Linked DNA regions of Caenorhabditis elegans. The protein of the gene in region 2 purifies or fractionates together with the protein of the main gene of each other region. This does not show direct contact. Each region holds a gene or a part of one and is shown on either strand. Other genes may lie near its edges.

Region 1 (5,537 bases), on a different chromosome or scaffold from region 2:
GTCGTCGTGTACCACACTAACAAGCATCAGTGCCCAACAGTATACTGTCTGTGAGTGAATGTGTGGCGGCAGTGGCGCCCGATTGCGAACGATAATTATTATGTAACCGATTGTGGCGACGATGGGGATGTCGGTAGTATTGTGACTGGTAAGTAGGAAAATAAGAGACTAAATTGGACCGATCAAAACGAAACTACCACATCGAAAATGACTAGGAACACTGCGATGCGATGAAATTGGCATGGTGGTTGAGGTAAACCAATCCTAAATAAGGATGATCAGAAGGGGCGATGGAAAGGATTATGAACCGATTTTTTTGTGTGTCTTGGAAACAATGGACAGATTTGCTTCGAATTCTAGATTTCCTTGAACAATGTAGTATTCAGAAGTTGTTTTATTTTTCATTTTCTAACGTTAGATTTTAAAAAAATTGAAACCTTGAAAACTACTCACACACTGAAATTGTCTAAAAACGGAGCTCACTGTGGAAATAGAAGAATACGATTCATGATCTTTCTGCGTCTTATTTCTCCCAAGATGTGTGCCAATATTCCCAAAACAAGCTCTTTTGTCAACTTTGGCGCGTTAAAAAACCCACCCTGAACCAAAGATAGTCCCAAAATACATAAATACATCGTGTCTCTGAAGGTGATAAGATAATTATGAAAAGAAGAAGAACTAAACGGCAAAAAATATGAAAAATAATTTTTGTACCATTTAGTGGAACGATGCAAAACTGGTTGCAAAAAATAATTGAAGAAGAGGGAATAGAGAGCGTGGAGAAGAAGAAACGCAGACGGATAAGAGGACGTAAACGACCTGGGTATAGTGAGGGAAATAGGCGGGTGCGCATATCTCGAGGGGGTTAGGAGAGGTAGTTAAATTATCACTGTTGACAGGTCTCGCTACAAAAACCAGATAAAGTACTTTAACTGATCAGTGTATAGAGGAGCATGTAAGAGAGCTTGACTAAAAATCTTATCTTTGAAAAATTTCAGAATTCTCTCAATGCGCTCATGAATTTTGTTCTTGTAGGGTGATAGGAAATTTATAAAAAACTAATAAACACATTTAAACATGAAATTGCAGTTTCAAGGTGCGAAAAACCTATTCTATTTAGCATCAAACAAAAAAAGAAGAAAAAATCGATATTGCCTCAAAACCGTACCCGAAGTTTAAAGGAACATTCTACTTTACTTATTTCGCGGCGAGACCCATGAAGGAAAATCGTGTCATGTCTCTTTAACCGGTGAGTACGATTTGAGGCAAAATATATTTTTTAAACATCGTAATATGCTGTTTGGACTTGTACCTGCCGAAAAAACACTGGAAAACACAGAAATCACTCATAATTCACAGAGAAACTACTACTTTCATATCAAGTGGTGTTCTGGGAGTATATTTAGCTGATATCTCCCCAGTTTTGCTTCTCTTGACTCGATCTTTTCCTTTCTCAACACGAGACATTTTCAAGTAGCTTCTCGGTTTTTCCCTTTTTCTACCGTCTCTAACTGCTTGCGAAGGGGGGCGCGCAAACACTAAGGGGAAAAGCCTACACTTCAACCGACACCCGTTTCTCTGAATCTCTTAAATTGTATAAAATCTCTCTATCCAGCCTGTCAACATGATATTTTTGTTTGATATATGGTATTAGAATATTTAGATTAGGATATGTTATCAAAAGGCGTCTATTGAGATCTTGAAAAAATATTTATAATACATTGAAAATCATTTGATCTGACCCAATCGGAGAATTTGAGTATCATTTTTTCTTACAATGCTCACTCAAAAATCACAAGAATTTAAATACAAATTGATAGATGAACTCGAAACGCTAAATTCTTTCATTGGCGCCCTACAAAAATAGCGTAAGTATGACAAGTGAAGCAATTTGTTAAAGCGAAGAAGAACTTTACCGTAAAACCGGGTCTATACTTTCTTCTCCTACAATATGCAAAATTCCCGCTTCCCGCCGATTAATGATCTGCAACGTTTTTACCATATTTAAGCCTGACAACTGATGGCCGAATCGAATCTTCCACAGCAACTAAAACTTCAAGTGGAAAAGGAGAATAGATATGAAAAGTACTTCAAGCCGGCCAAAGGAACATCCGAACAGCGAAAAGAAAACCAAAAAATGAAGGAGTGTTCGAAGATATACAGATGAAAAGAAAAGAGAGCAAATAAACGTTTCGCAATACTCTTTGTAATGCACAAAATACAGTATAATTATTACAAAACAGTATTTAAACAATAATTATTTATAAATTAACAAAATGAACAAATTATAATTGAATCATCACTTTTTATCATTGTCACCGGTACCGAAACACTGTGTTCGTGTGACACACTCCATGAACGACATCAACTCCTTACCGCAAGCTCCCTACAATACATATTATTTATTTATTTTCGAGAACTCTAGAGCTAAATAATTGTTACCTGCTCTATTTCACCATCACTATTGGTCTTTTGGCACGTAATCGCTTCCCGAAACTCGAATCCACAAGGGCTTCCAACAAGATGACCGACACAGTGACATTCAAAATTGATTTGGCCATCAGCAGTTGTTGGTCCGGGGTTATTGCTTGGATAGACTTCATTAGGGTCCGTGTTAGCTAGTTGTATAAGATAATCGTCTTTAATATCTTCCCAGTACTCATCGACGCTCATTCTCACAACTTCATCTTTTGTTGAAGCCATTTCGAGATTATCACCTTTTCTGAAAGCAATTAATGTTTTTGAAGATAAATTAACCAGAAATCAAATATATTAATTTACGGACAAGAAGTGTTATGTATTTAATCAAATAATCTTTGAAAGAAAACAAATTCTAACAGTAAGTTTATTGTCCACGAGGACTACGTACGAGAGCGCTAAACAACTTGCACTACGAAACTCCGATTTTTTATAAAATTTCGCAATTTCTTTTATTTTTCTAATTTTCGTGGTTTTTTCTTTTTAAAATAGTGCTTTTAATTTTATTTTGTAAATTTTCAGAACTCGAAAAATGTCGTCGTTCGACAAAAATGACGAGCGAGCTCAGCTGATGGTGCCAAAATCAATAAACGAGGGAAAAGTAGTGAAATTGTCACAGAAAACCCTAGTTACTAAGAAAATTGAGCGCCAAGTTGTTCCCGAGGAGAAGTACATTGCTGGACTTGATAAAATTATAGAAAAAGATTATTTTCCACATCTCAAGAAAATGCAGGTAAAATAATCATTATTTATAAATATTTACTGTTTTAATGAGTTCTATTTTCAGGCACAGAAAGAGTATTTGGAGGCTGTTGCAAATAAGGACATTAATAAAATAAAAGAACTTCAAATGAAGTTCTGCAGTACTGGAAGTGTGCGGACCGATAGAAGCTTCAGAACCCCAATAACAACTCGTTCGACAACTGAGGCTCCTGATGTTTCATCTTTCGATGCAGATACACCGGGCCCTTCATCTGCTTCAACTTCGAGTGCACATGATTGGATGCAATCTCCAATGCCTTTTGCTAATGAGGAAGGAGATAATGAGGTTAGATTTATGATTTTCAATCCATTACTATCTTTCGCAGAGTTTCAGGCGTTAAATCGGAAACGAAAAAAGAAGAAAGAAGAGACTTTAACGTCATATCTCAACAAATACACATCAGAAGACAATGCTTCCTTCGAGGAATTGGCGAAAGTTATGAGGGAACGAGAAGATGCACGTCGTCCTTGGGTTTATAAAGCCGAGGAAGAGCATAACAAAAACCTTGTAAGATATTCTTTCACGAATAAAATCTGATATCGTCGAATTCGTAACTTAATCTAATTTCAGGTGACTCGACAAGCAATTGCTGCTGAAGCTGACGTGCAGTTGGCTTTAAAACATGCTGTAGATGCTGATGACAATAGACCTCTGAATGTAGACAATTGGGCATACAAAGCATGGAACACTGTACTCTTCAATCCGGATGGGGCAGCTCTGACACCTGCAGAGATTGCAGATGCAGCTAGAAAACAGCAAACTGAAATAAATAAACGTGGCACTAGGTTTCCAGACTCCGGAAAATTGAAGCCTAGCGACGAAGCTATGACTCGAGCAGCAGTGAGCCATGCTCTCGCGAATGCCGGAAAAGTTGATTTTTTGGGAAATGAAGTAACTCCAGCCAACTCATTCAAATTACTCGAAACACCGAATCCAAATCCTGACGACATGGATTCTCCTCTTATGACTTGGGGAGAAATTGATGGAACACCATTCCGACTTGATGCGCCTGACGTTACAGAGCATTCGTTGCCTGGTGCGGCGCCTGTATTCAAGATACCAGAGGTTCCGTATCGGGAGAAAATTGCACAATCTATGAATGATTCAATCGCGGCCAAATATAGAGACAAGAGAAAAGTTGCGATGAGAGCAGCTGAAGGAGCTCAGTGAGTTTTCATTTTTCAATTAAAAATTGTTTATTTTTTCAAGTTATAAAATATATTTCTCTATGGTATTAAAATCTATAACGAGATAATAGTACTTCAAATAATTTTCAACTTGGTAAAGTTTCAGCCGAACACCTGGATTTGGATCCAAGCGAGTCTCAGACAAGCTTGCACAATTATCTCCTGCTGCTCAAAAGTTGGCAACCAAGAAGCTTGGATTAAAAATGTTACCTGCTCACAAATCTCCTTTCGCCTCGCCGAAAATCATGTCGAATTGGTCAAGACCGTCAAGTTCAAAGCGATCCACAACTCCTGGTTCTGCATGGAGTCGTGGTTCTACTACACCTGGATCATCTTGGAGCCAAGGAGCACAAACTCCTGGCACACCTGGGATTGAATCTATGATCCGAAGAAAAGGGGATAACGTCGGACCTTCAACATCAGCCGGAGCTGCAGATAGAGCAAATGCTGGAGACTTTTTCTAATATTATAAGATTAGTATAATTTAGATCTGTATATTTTGTTCTCATGTGCCTTATAGACACGGTTTATTATTTATGACAATGGCCTAATAATTGATAGTAAATTCATTTATTATAATTTTTAATTTTTAAATTTCAGCACCATATAACATTTTAGAAGATTGAAAAACAAATGGAGAAAAGGCATTCAGAAGGTGAACAGAACCCGTTTGTGGGATTTTCAGAAAGTTGAAAAAATAACTGCAGAAGCCTGAAGCATAATTGAAGCATTTAGGGGAAATGTGTGAGCAAGAGCAGGTCATGGAGAGATAGAAAATGTGCGTGGGTTTGGAAATATTAAGAAAGTCGGTGCAATCCGGTAGGAAGTTTATGTGGTTGAACATAATTTGCAGGTAGCATTCCCCATTGAAGAGTTCGTTGAACTGTTCCTGTCATCCATCCATCATCAATTTTCTCGCAGTTCACGATGATATCACCTTCGAGGAATGAAATCTGGAATCAAATATTTTAGATGGTTGAATAAATTTTCATCGTGAAACTGGTTGAAAACCTAATTTAAATTTACCTCGTCTTTATCAGCAGCAGCGTAATCATAAATTGCCTTAACTGCAAATCCAGCTTTTCCAGTCGGTGAAATTGTGCTTTGTG
Region 2 (5,905 bases):
AAGAAGTACATTGCCGGCATTTACATATTTATTACTAACTTTCAAAAAATATCACAAATTCATATTATTTTTAAATTTTATTGAAACAGAATACTGGAATTTATAGTAATTACATGCATAGTTCAAAAAAATCATAAAATTACAATAATTATTCAGAAGTTTTTTGTTCAACGGGCGCTTGCTGAATTGGAATAGATCTTCCTTGAATCGCTTCCTTCTTTGGTGCTTCAATTGAAAGTTTTCCATCTTCTGAAAGATTTGAAGCAACTGCACCAACATCAACATCTTCGGGTAGAAGAATAACACGAGAAAATGATTTCTTTGAATATCCATGTTCAGTCTTTAATTCTTGTTCTCCTTGAATTGATAATGTATGTCCATCCAAATTAATTTTCAAATCTTCTGGCTTGAACTGCGAGACATTGAGATTTATGGCAAACTTTTGATCATTGTTAACAATCTGAAAGAAATCTTTTTTATACAAACTCTTGAAAAAAAAACGTGTTACTTACCTCAGAAGATTCAGATGGAGAGCCTCTGCAAACTGGAGTAAATTGACGTTCCATCTGAGCCATATCTCTCATGAGATCACCAAAAACAGAACGTTGAGCTGGACGGAAATAGTGGTAAAGTGACATGATTGTAGTTTGAAGATTTCACAATTAGAGTGAATGTTGTTTGGTTCGGTTTTGTCACTGTATTTATACTCATTTCCACCTTTTTCTAGAACATTCGAGCTGCTTCTTGCAAAAGGAGGGCGACTCACATTCAGAACATTGAGAAATAGTGTGCGTACTGAAGAAACCCAGATACTTTTTCAATCTGCGTCTCTTTGCACCTATGGGGTGTATTTTGAAATGAATGCATCTAGGACCTTCTAGAACATTCTAAACGGCTGCAGGATACGGGTATATAAGCCAATCGTGTTCAGAGGAAACCAATACACTTTGTTCAAGTGCTTACTGTTCATTCTCTAAACTTCAAGAATGCTCATGCTCCGTTCTCCATTTTCTGATTCAAATGTTCTCGATCATTTCTTGGATGAAATCACTGGATCTGTTCAATTTCCATATTGGAGAAATGCTGATCACAACTCATTCAATTTTTCCGACAATATTGGAGAGGTAAGAAAATAATCTCTTTTTCAATTGTTTATTTGTCAAATGTTTTATTTTTCAGATTGTAAATGACGAATCTAAATTCTCTGTTCAACTCGATGTTTCTCATTTCAAACCAGAAGATCTTAAAATTGAATTGGATGGAAGAGAACTAAAAATTGAAGGAATTCAAGAAAAAAAATCAGAGCATGGATACTCGAAACGATCATTTTCAAAAATGATTCTTCTACCAGAAGATGTTGATTTAACTTCTGTCAAATCTGCAATTTCGAATGAAGGAAAACTTCAAATTGAGGCTCCAAAGAAGACTAACTCATCTCGTTCTATTCCCATTAATTTTGTTGCAAAACATTAATCTTTTATTGTATTCCAAATATTCTTAATTTCAATAAAGTCATTAATTTAATTTATTCATGTTCTCTAGCATAACAAAAACATCAAATCCGACTTTCCAATTCAAATATTTCAAAACAACATAATTGAAGTTATTCCAGAAACTTTTTATGCAAAAAATTTATTAGTCTCAATAAATGTTTTAGCTTGAATTTATGCTTAAAACAAAAAACATAAAAAATGTTTTAAAAAAATTACAGTGCGTGCAACTTCTACAGGGCCCTCATAAAATAGGTTCTTCAAGAGAAAAATCAGAAAATATTTTAAGCTACCAGCTACTCGGCTTCTCAGAAAACTCCTGCGACTTGATAAAAACACTTAAAAACTGTCAAAAGCTGTTATAAAGGTGCAGTTGATCAACACAGTTGTGAGCGAAATTAAGCTGAAAAACTGAATTTTGAAAAAGTTGCAAAAGTCGTTTGAAACGATGCAGGAATTTTTATAGCTAAACGTTTAACGGTTGGTAAAACGTAGCATGAGTATGCTGTAAAGTTGAGCCGTTATGTTGTTTTGAAATATTTGAATTGGAAAGTCGGATTTGATGTTTTTGTTATGCTAGAGAACATGAATAAATTAAATTAATGACTTTATTGAAATTAAGAATATTTGGAATACAATAAAAGATTAATGTTTTGCAACAAAATTAATGGGAATAGAACGAGATGAGTTAGTCTTCTTTGGAGCCTCAATTTGAAGTTTTCCTTCATTCGAAATTGCAGATTTGACAGAAGTTAAATCAACATCTTCTGGTAGAAGAATCATTTTTGAAAATGATCGTTTCGAGTATCCATGCTCTGATTTTTTTTCTTGAATTCCTTCAATTTTTAGTTCTCTTCCATCCAATTCAATTTTAAGATCTTCTGGTTTGAAATGAGAAACATCGAGTTGAACAGAGAATTTAGATTCGTCATTTACAATCTGAAAAATAAAACATTTGACAAATAAACAATTGAAAAAGAGATTATTTTCTTACCTCTCCAATATTGTCGGAAAAATTGAATGAGTTGTGATCAGCATTTCTCCAATATGGAAATTGAACAGATCCAGTGATTTCATCCAAGAAATGATCGAGAACATTTGAATCAGAAAATGGAGAACGGAGCATGAGCATTCTTGAAGTTTAGAGAATGAACAGTAAGCACTTGAACAAAGTGTATTGGTTTCCTCTGAACACGATTGGCTTATATACCCGTATCCTGCAGCCGTTTAGAATGTTCTAGAAGGTCCTAGATGCATTCATTTCAAAATACACCCCATAGGTGCAAAGAGACGCAGATTGAAAAAGTATCTGGGTTTCTTCAGTACGCACACTATTTCTCAATGTTCTGAATGTGAGTCGCCCTCCTTTTGCAAGAAGCAGCTCGAATGTTCTAGAAAAAGGTGGAAATGAGTATAAATACAGTGACAAAACCGAACCAAACAACATTCACTCTAATTGTGAAATCTTCAAACTACAATCATGTCACTTTACCACTATTTCCGTCCAGCTCAACGTTCTGTTTTTGGTGATCTCATGAGAGATATGGCTCAGATGGAACGTCAATTTACTCCAGTTTGCAGAGGCTCTCCATCTGAATCTTCTGAGGTAAGTAACACGTTTTTTTTTCAAGAGTTTGTATAAAAAAGATTTCTTTCAGATTGTTAACAATGATCAAAAGTTTGCCATAAATCTCAATGTCTCGCAGTTCAAGCCAGAAGATTTGAAAATTAATTTGGATGGACATACATTATCAATTCAAGGAGAACAAGAATTAAAGACTGAACATGGATATTCAAAGAAATCATTTTCTCGTGTTATTCTTCTACCCGAAGATGTTGATGTTGGTGCAGTTGCTTCAAATCTTTCAGAAGATGGAAAACTTTCAATTGAAGCACCAAAGAAGGAAGCGATTCAAGGAAGATCTATTCCAATTCAGCAAGCGCCCGTTGAACAAAAAACTTCTGAATAATTATTGTAATTTTATGATTTTTTTGAACTATGCATGTAATTACTATAAATTCCAGTATTCTGTTTCAATAAAATTTAAAAATAATATGAATTTGTGATATTTTTTGAAAGTTAGTAATAAATATGTAAATGCCGGCAATGTACTTCTTGCATAATGCCTATTTTTGGGTATTGCACAGCCCCTCCCATCCTAACACATTCTGCATTGCTCCGCGGAACCCGCCAGATGTCATGCTATACAACACCCTTACCCTCTCTTACCGCCACTTCTTAAACTTACCTGGCTGGGGGTTATCTCGCGATCATGAAGGCGGGATCCCCATGGTGAGGCCTATCCATTGCACTTTTGGATGGGCTGACCTGTGTGGCAGTCTCGAGTTGAGATTCGCCAACAGCTTAATTTTTGCGTATCGGGGCTGCGTGCGCGCGGCCCTGAAAAATATATTAATACTGTTTTCAATAGTAATTGGCATAACGAATCAGTTTCAAGTAAAACGTACGTCAATTTCAGTAGCAGAACGTTCAAACAGTTTTCTATCTGATCGCGATTATAACTCGAAGTCGTTGCCGTAGGAGTCCCTGTTAAAATGCATTTATGATCAGCTGAAATGACAAAATTTCATTATGAAACGAGCGAAAAATTGTTAACTGCTTTTAAAAACGCTCAATCAAAGTTTTGGTAGACTGTCGAATTTCCAAAAAAGAAAGTTGAAGCAAACCCCATATTCCATTACTAATATGGAGTTCACTACAGGGTTGATTTTGGAAACAGAGTATCGATGCTTTTTCCTAACTGAACACGATTTCGCTAATCATACCGGCTTTTTTTAAGAACAGTATTTAGATTTTTTCAGGGCCGCGCGCACGCAGCCCCGATACGCAAAAATTAAGCTGTTGGCGAATCTCAACTCGAGACTGCCCTGAGACTGCGAGTCAGCCCATCCAAAAGTGCAATGGATAGGCCTCACCATGGGGATCCCGCCTTCATGATCGCGAGATAACCCCCAGCCAGGTAAGTTTATGAAGTGGCGGTAAGAGAGGGTAAGGGTGTTGTAAGGCATGACATCTGGCGGGTTCCGCGGAGCAATGCAGAATGTGTTAGGATGGGAGGGGCTGTGCAATACCAAAACTAGGCATTATGCAAGGAGTACATTGCCGGCATTTATTTATTACTTACTTTCGAAAAATATCACAAATTCATATTATTTTTAAAATTATAGGTGGATTACTTGCTCTCGAAAATTAACACAAATTATAACATTTTCAATTTTACTGGAAGTTAGAATGCGATTACATTTGTTCGCGCGATTTATGGCATTTGCATTGTAGTGAATTTTCAGAAAATATCTCATCAATTAGAAATTTTCATTTGTTCAAATTCTGAAAAATAACCGTCGCATTTTTTTAAATGAAATTTTGGGAACTGAGTTCAACTATGAAAACAGTTTTCAAGTGCACCATCAGAGTCTGAGTGAGTTATCTAAAAGCTGTTAGGCACTCGTTAATAAATATGTTGAATCCGAAATAATCGTTCAAACTTACTCCGAAAATACATATATCGACTTTTTTTTTGAAATAGACATACATATATCTCAATTGTTATTGTGGGTGAGCAAGATTTGGGTCTATAATTAGTTCCCTTGAGAATTTGATGTGTACACACATACCTATATAAGCCTCATTCTTCACTCATTTCTCAAAATAAAGCCACGAAAATTCCCACTTCAATTCATTCGTTCAAAACCCTCTCAAGAACCGTCGATTAAAGGGTGTCATTCGTCACAAGTATCCTCCTTCTTCCTTTCTTTTTTTCTCTCAACTGCTGAGCCTTTCCTCCCGAAGGACATAATGCCAACGTCCATATACTACTGCTCCAATCTTTTCTCTCTTTGCTTTCAAAAACTTTTGTTCCTCCGTTTCACATTCCCTTAACTAGCTCATCCTCCCACATCGCTCTGATTTTACTCTCTCGTTTTCATATTATTTCCGTTTTTGCCCAAATCACACATCGATTCGATTGTTATGCGTGGAAAAAATGGTTTGTCTAACTGTCTGAATCGTTCACTTTCCGGGAATACTCTCGCTTCGCCGATATGATGTACAATTGGATGGAAAGGCTCAGCGACGACGCGGAGGTATGATTTATAATATGAAATATACTTAATTGAGAATATTGAATTCTCAAAAATTATATTTTCATAAGATTGAGAGTAATTTAGAAAAACTAATAAATAAATTTATTTAATAAAAATAAATTTAACGGCCCCTCAATAAAACAAATTGACAATTAAAATTATAAAGAATTGAACGGTGTGGTAGAAAATTTGTAAAGTTCCAATCTTTCAAATTCATCATTCATAACTAGTTTTCTAAAACTTATATTTTCAGGTTCCGACACCAAGGAGGGTGCAGCCATGTCTGTCGGTGGCATTTGAATATGTGGAAG
Region 3 (6,059 bases), on a different chromosome or scaffold from region 2:
TAAAAATTACTGAAAATAACAGTTTAGAAGTGAAGCCGCAGTCGTCGTTCTTGGTGATGTCGGCAGAAGCCCACGAATGTGTAATCACGCAAAAATGCTCGCTGATGAAGGATTTGATGTCAAACTTATTGGATTTTTCGATTCTATTCCAGGAGAACAAATTATGAATCATCCAAGGATAAAGTGAGTTTCAGAAAATTTTTATCTAAAAAATTTGCAAAAAAGTTGTTCCGTTTAAAAAAATAAATTTAGTTACAAATCATCCAAAGAATTTTTCCAAATAAATAAAATTTCAGAATAGTTGGAATCCCGCCACCTCCTGACTTCATGGATTCGTTACCAGCTTTCGTGCAACTTCCACTGAAACTTTTTTGGAACTTTATAACTCTTTTCTTGGCTCTCGCTTTTCAAACAAGCGCCTTTAATTTAAGAATTATTCTTATGCAGAATCCGCCGGCGCTTCCGACGATGATAGTTTGTTTCATGGTAGGATTCTACTGACTACCGTTATAAAATATCAACTTTAATTTCAGTTTTCCATATTCAAATTCGCAAAATTCTCAATTGATTGGCACAATTACATGTATTCAATTCTACAAAATAAATACCAATTGACCGATGATCAAGTTTTTGGAAACGATAAAAAAACCAAAAAAGCCCAGTGAGTATTGGACACCGGCATTGTTCCCCGACGCGAAAAAAAACAGTCGGTACTCGGTCTCCACACGACAAATCTTTGTGAAACGAAGAATGACATACGCCTTTAAAGAGTACTGTAATTTATCCCATGAAAAATATTTTTTACGAAAACTGGAAAAATCACATCAAACTGTTGCAGCAACGAATTTGAAACTATAGTACTCTTCAAAGGCGCATAACCTTTCATATTTAACGAAAACTTGTCGTGCCGAGACCGGGCAACGTATTTTAGCCAAAACATTCGCGTCTGTACAATAAATCAAACTCGTATTGAACAATTTACATTTTCAGAATTGTGAGATGTGTTGGATTCCTAGAAGGTCTATGTGGAAAACTATCCGATTATAATCTGTGTGTAACAAATGCCATGCGTCGAGATCTCATGGATCGATGGGGCATCAGAGCCAGCACATTCTATGATAGGCCGCCGACGTGGAAATTTAGGTTTGAACAAATGTGAAATTTCTGAAAATTAATCTCGAAATTTTCAGAGACACAACAATACAAGAGATCCATGATTTGTATCTAAGACTTTCACAAAAGGAACGAATTCTACAAGGAAAAGACGAAGACTCCACAATTCTGACTCATAAATCTTCGAACGGAGTAGTGCAGCTACTAACAACTCGACCCATTGTGTTTCTCTCTTCCACATCCTGGACACCTGATGAACGGTTTGAAATTCTTCTCGATGCGCTGGTTGCATATGACAAAACAATCGGACTCCCGCGAGTTTTGATGATTATCACTGGAAAAGGTCCACTGAAAGCGAAATATTTACAAGAAATTCACGAGAAAAATCTGAAGAATGTCGATGTATTGACTCCATGGTTGGAAGCAGAAGATTATCCAAAGATTCTAGCCTCTGCTGACTTAGGAATCTCTTTGCACACAAGCACGTCTGGATTGGATCTTCCGATGAAAGTTGTTGATATGTTTGGAGCTAAAGTTCCAGCATTGGCTCTAAAATTCAAATGTATTGATGAGCTCGTTGAGGAGAAAACTAATGGATATCTTTTCGATGATTCTGAGCAGTTGAGTCGTCAAATTATTGAACTTTCTCGTGGATTCCCAAATAATTGCAATGAATTGATACGGCTCAAGAAGAATACACAGGAGCAAAAATTCGATTCTTGGGAAGTGATGTGGAAGAGATCAGCTACCTCTGGTGCAGACTTTCGAGTTCCAGACAATGGATTCGCCAAACTTCGTGCAATTATTCAATTCTCATTTTTCGCTATTTTATTGATCATGCCGATTCACTTATTTATGGGCACTTTTTCGGGGGCATTCAGATCGCTTTAATTTTTTTTCGGGGTTTTGTACATTCAATAAACTATTGGCCAAAATTGTTTATCAAAGTGAAATGTTAGAGACAAAAGTGGGACACGCGTTGAGAATCGGAATGAGATTTTACAGGAAGGATCGTTTTGAGCAGGAATGAGTTGGTTATGAGTGATCAGTTCATCAATGAATCTGCAATATTATAAATTATTCAGATAAACTTCAGATTTAAAGAATAGAACTAACCATCGACAGGAGTATCGTCAATAATGTCGTCATCCATTTCAGCATTGACAGAGCTGGATTCAACTGGATTTTTACGAGCGAGAGCCTTCTGCTGACTAATAACTTTCCATTTATCGTTGGCGGACTTGCACTGGAAATTTTAATTTCTTAACTCTTTCGAAACCCATAATTACATGATTGTGAATAGAAGTATTCTCAAGCTCTCGGAGTCCTTTGACAACATCATCTCCTGAGATCGTCTTGTGCTTCTGATCGCGAGCAGATTGAGCCGAAACGTCGGACAAGTTTATGAGAAACACTGCTGCAGCACGAGCGATGACGTCTCGAGCATCTTTTGATGCAGAAATATTGTCTTCTTTCATGAGCCGAGTCACAATTGCTGCTGGCATCATCATTTGAGCAATTCGATCATCGTTTTGATCCACATCGTTTGATGACATTTCTATCTTAAATTATTGCCTTGTTCAGTTTCGAGTATAAAAATGAAGCACAGATAATTAAGGGATTTAAAGCTATCCTTTTATTTTTACTTTTAGTGCGAGCACTTTTCGAGAACAAAAATATTATGAGTTCTCTTTTCTCTCAAAAACGGACAACGTAAGAAGATTTATGGGTGATGGAGGAAGATTCAAAGAAAATGAACAGTTTGAGCTAAATAAATAGAATGCGACGAAGGAAAATGTTTTTTGGGAGGAAAAGGAAGATTTAACAAGAGTGCACACTGAAGATCCTACGCCACCTAAGGTACACGTAGGATCAGGTCACAATTTAAAGATCATTGAATGTTTTTTAAGAACAGGATGGGATTTATCCAGACTTGAATAGCAGGATGGCGACCTGTCCAAGGTAGAAGTAGATAAAGTGCTTAGTCTCGTGGGTCACGTAGCTTCCAAAGTTTCTTCCGACGATGCAATGCCAGGTTGGGTTGTATTTCTTGTCGAACTCCTTCTTGATGTAAGCGGCAATATCCTTCTCGATGTTGTATCTGAAAAAAAAATGTTTTGATTTTATTTTTTAGACTTTCATCGCTTCGCTTTTTTCTTGCACAAGGATCAGATTTGTTCGATCAGCTGGTCGCTCCTGCTCGCCCCCTCCCCTAGACTCGGGCTGCCGTCCACTTTAGTTTAAATCAAGGGACCGATGAGCCGTTCCAAACAGCTAAACGACATTTCTTTACACTTTTTCTCTACTAAGCGACCAAGTGTTGTTCATGGCAATCGAATTATTCAAGCGTTTAAAATGCAATGAGAAAGCTCATAACTCACTTCTCGAGGGCCTGGGTGGCGCAGTCGATGGCGTCCTGTTGCATGTCATCGGACATGTCGGCATTCTTGATCACAGCCTTGCGGTCAACCATTTTGAACGGATTTGGCTGCAAAAAATACAAAATTAAATTAATTGAACACCGGGTACTCGGTAGTAGTTATAATAACGGTTGTGAATGCGGAATGCGGAGGTCAAAGAGATAGATAAGGATAATGGAAGAACGGCAAGGTAATTATTTGAGCGACCCAATTTATGACACGAAACAGGAGTATGTTAGTACGAATAAGGCTCTTCAGAGTATTAAAAATATAATTTGCAAAGCTCGGAGGCACTTGAGTACAGAGTATTTGCGCCCGCAACATGAAAAACTTTTGACGTGAATTGTTTAAATCTGAACAGTTTAGAAATAATGAAATAGATGAAAGAAGAAGAGTTCCCCAGTTATGTGTCATCGGGAACTTTTTTCAAAAGATATTTCATGTCAACAAACAGGCTACTTTTTCGATAAGAGTACACATCAGATTGTACGCATTTATCAGCAGCAGCATTCGTAAGACAACAGAGAAAAGATATCGAAAGTGGAGGAGAATGAAGTGAGCCAAAAGATAACAGTTTCAAAGAGTGGAGGAATGGGTGGCATTGGGAGACGAAAGAGAAGATGGCTGAGCGAAGCCGAGAGCGAGATAGGCGGGGCGCGTCGCACGCTGCACAGCCGCGTCGCACGCGACCCGGCTGTGTTGGAGTGTGCGACTCGGCTGTCGTCGGGGCAATGCGCGCGCACTCAAATGCAAACAGGCGCGTGCCCGCGTATTTCAAAATGTTTTGGGGTGTTGGTGGGAGCGAGAAGAAGGAGAAAAAAAAGAAAAAGTGAAGGGCGTTGGAAGAAACTGCGAGGTTGTTGTGTGAGACGAGCATGAATGTGTTTATAGACTCTAACTCCTGAATACAATAGACCGGAAAAAGGAAGAGGGTGAATATAAAAGTAATAGATGCATAGAAGATCAATTTGAAACATAGCAAAGCTCTTGGAAAAAACCAAGAGCTTAAAAATATATGATGAACACTTTAAATCTATTTTTAACACTTTTAATCTACTTTTAATCAACTATCGTCAACAAAAATTCCACAATCTCTACTAGCAAAATGTTGTTATCGCTCGAAAAAGCACTGGAAACACTATCTTTGCAAATTCTATGAATAATTGCTTATAAATTCTGGAATTTAGTTATTTCTTTTTAGAGAAAGTGTGTTTTTTTGGGAAAATAAAGGGCGTTTGAGAAAGATTAAAAAGCCCAAAGATTCAAGTAGGAAATTTTTTTACGAATACTCTTATTTTGAAAAATTCGGAATTTTTCGAAAGTTAAACATTTTGCTAAGCGCTACCTTAATCTTTGAATAGCCTAAAGGCGCAAGGAGCAAGTCTCGAGTAGGGTCCCGCAACGATTGAAAGCGACTACGGTAGTATTTGAAATTAGCAATATTTGTTTTACACGTTTTCTCCTTGAATTTTCAAGTTTAACTGTAAATTATTACTGTAAATTTGTTCAGAGATGCTTTCGCGATCATTGCATCCTCTTCGAGCGGTAGCATGCGCCAGGCCAGCTATTTCTAATCGTGATTCTCACACAATTTGGTATCCTGACGCTAAATTCGAACGTCAATTCAAGGTATTACTGTTTGCATATACTTTAATGCATTTTCACGATTTCAGACTGGCGGAACTCTTGGGAAACTTTGGATGTCAGAACGCGTATCCGATTTCGACGATCAAATCGGACTTGACAAATTGGAGAAACTTGCATACAGCGATCCGGTGCTCAGCGACAATTATGAGGGAAAGAAGAGGTTGCTGCAACGTTTTTTTTGCGATTTTTAAATTCTATTTCAGAGAGAAGAATCTGGAAAACATGATTCTCAACTTTGGACCACAGCACCCTGCGGCTCACGGAGTTCTTCGTCTTGTTCTCAAGCTGGAAGGAGAAGTCATCATTAAAGCTATTCCACATATTGGTCTGCTACATCGCGCTACAGAAAAGCTCATTGAGCACAAGACCTACACACAGGTTGAGTCGAAACAAATTTCAATTCGAATTCGAATAAAATTGTAGGCACTCCCGTATTTCGATCGCCTTGACTACGTATCCATGATGTGCAACGAACAAGCTTTCTCTCTGGCAATTGAAAAATTGTTGGGGATTGACGTTCCACCAAGAGCGAAGTATATCAGAAGTGAGCTATATGAATCGAGTATCGCAATTTAACATTTTAAAACATATTTTCAGTTCTTTTCGGCGAACTCACTCGAATTCAAAATCATATTATGGGAATCACCACACACGCCCTCGACGTTGGAGCTATGACCCCATTCTTCTGGATGTTCGAAGAACGCGAAAAATTATTCGAATTCTCAGAACGAGTTTCAGGTGCAAGAATGCACGCAAACTATGTTCGTCCAGGCGGAGTCGCATGGGATCTTCCTGTTGGATTAATGGATGATATTTATGATTGGGCTGTGAAGTTTCCCGCTCGTATCGATGAACTGGAGGATATGCTTACAGAAAATC

What was found.
Region 1: the proteins of hsp-16.49 (region 2) and F42H10.2 fractionate together in Caenorhabditis elegans (co-fractionation; one large-scale study listed by BioGRID). This does not show direct contact.
Region 3: the proteins of hsp-16.49 (region 2) and pole-3 fractionate together in Caenorhabditis elegans (co-fractionation; one large-scale study listed by BioGRID). This does not show direct contact.

Annotation. Positions count from the first base shown.
Region 1 is NC_003281.10:8,487,811-8,493,347, reverse strand, and holds F42H10.2 (coiled-coil-helix-coiled-coil-helix domain-containing protein), read right to left. Parts: upstream 2,729-5,537; 5' UTR 2,704-2,728; coding exon 2,443-2,703; intron 2,387-2,442; coding exon 2,300-2,386; 3' UTR 2,244-2,299; downstream 1-2,243. Other genes in the region: Splicing factor ESS-2, read left to right, coding at 3,011-3,211, 3,266-3,526, 3,575-3,748, 3,812-4,407, 4,529-4,892; LIM and SH3 domain protein F42H10.3, read right to left, coding at 5,226-5,381, 5,455-5,537.
Region 2 is NC_003283.11:9,087,145-9,093,049, forward strand, and holds hsp-16.49 (Heat shock protein Hsp-16.48/Hsp-16.49), read right to left. Parts: upstream 2,623-5,905; coding exon 2,485-2,622; intron 2,430-2,484; coding exon 2,136-2,429; downstream 1-2,135. Other genes in the region: hsp-16.1 (Heat shock protein Hsp-16.1/Hsp-16.11), read right to left, coding at 149-460, 513-638; hsp-16.48 (Heat shock protein Hsp-16.48/Hsp-16.49), read left to right, coding at 987-1,124, 1,180-1,473; hsp-16.11 (Heat shock protein Hsp-16.1/Hsp-16.11), read left to right, coding at 2,971-3,096, 3,149-3,460; T27E4.1 (C2 domain-containing protein), read left to right, coding at 5,553-5,594, 5,848-5,905.
Region 3 is NC_003281.10:6,460,179-6,466,237, forward strand, and holds pole-3 (DNA polymerase epsilon subunit 3), read right to left. Parts: upstream 2,679-6,059; 5' UTR 2,670-2,678; coding exon 2,403-2,669; intron 2,360-2,402; coding exon 2,230-2,359; intron 2,176-2,229; coding exon 2,159-2,175; 3' UTR 2,038-2,158; downstream 1-2,037. Other genes in the region: algn-1 (Chitobiosyldiphosphodolichol beta-mannosyltransferase), read left to right, coding at 28-183, 297-486, 534-661, 991-1,143, 1,191-2,004; dlc-1 (Dynein light chain 1, cytoplasmic), read right to left, coding at 3,037-3,214, 3,495-3,586; nduf-2.2 (Complex I-49kD), read left to right, coding at 5,046-5,162, 5,207-5,340, 5,384-5,558, 5,604-5,724, 5,778-6,059.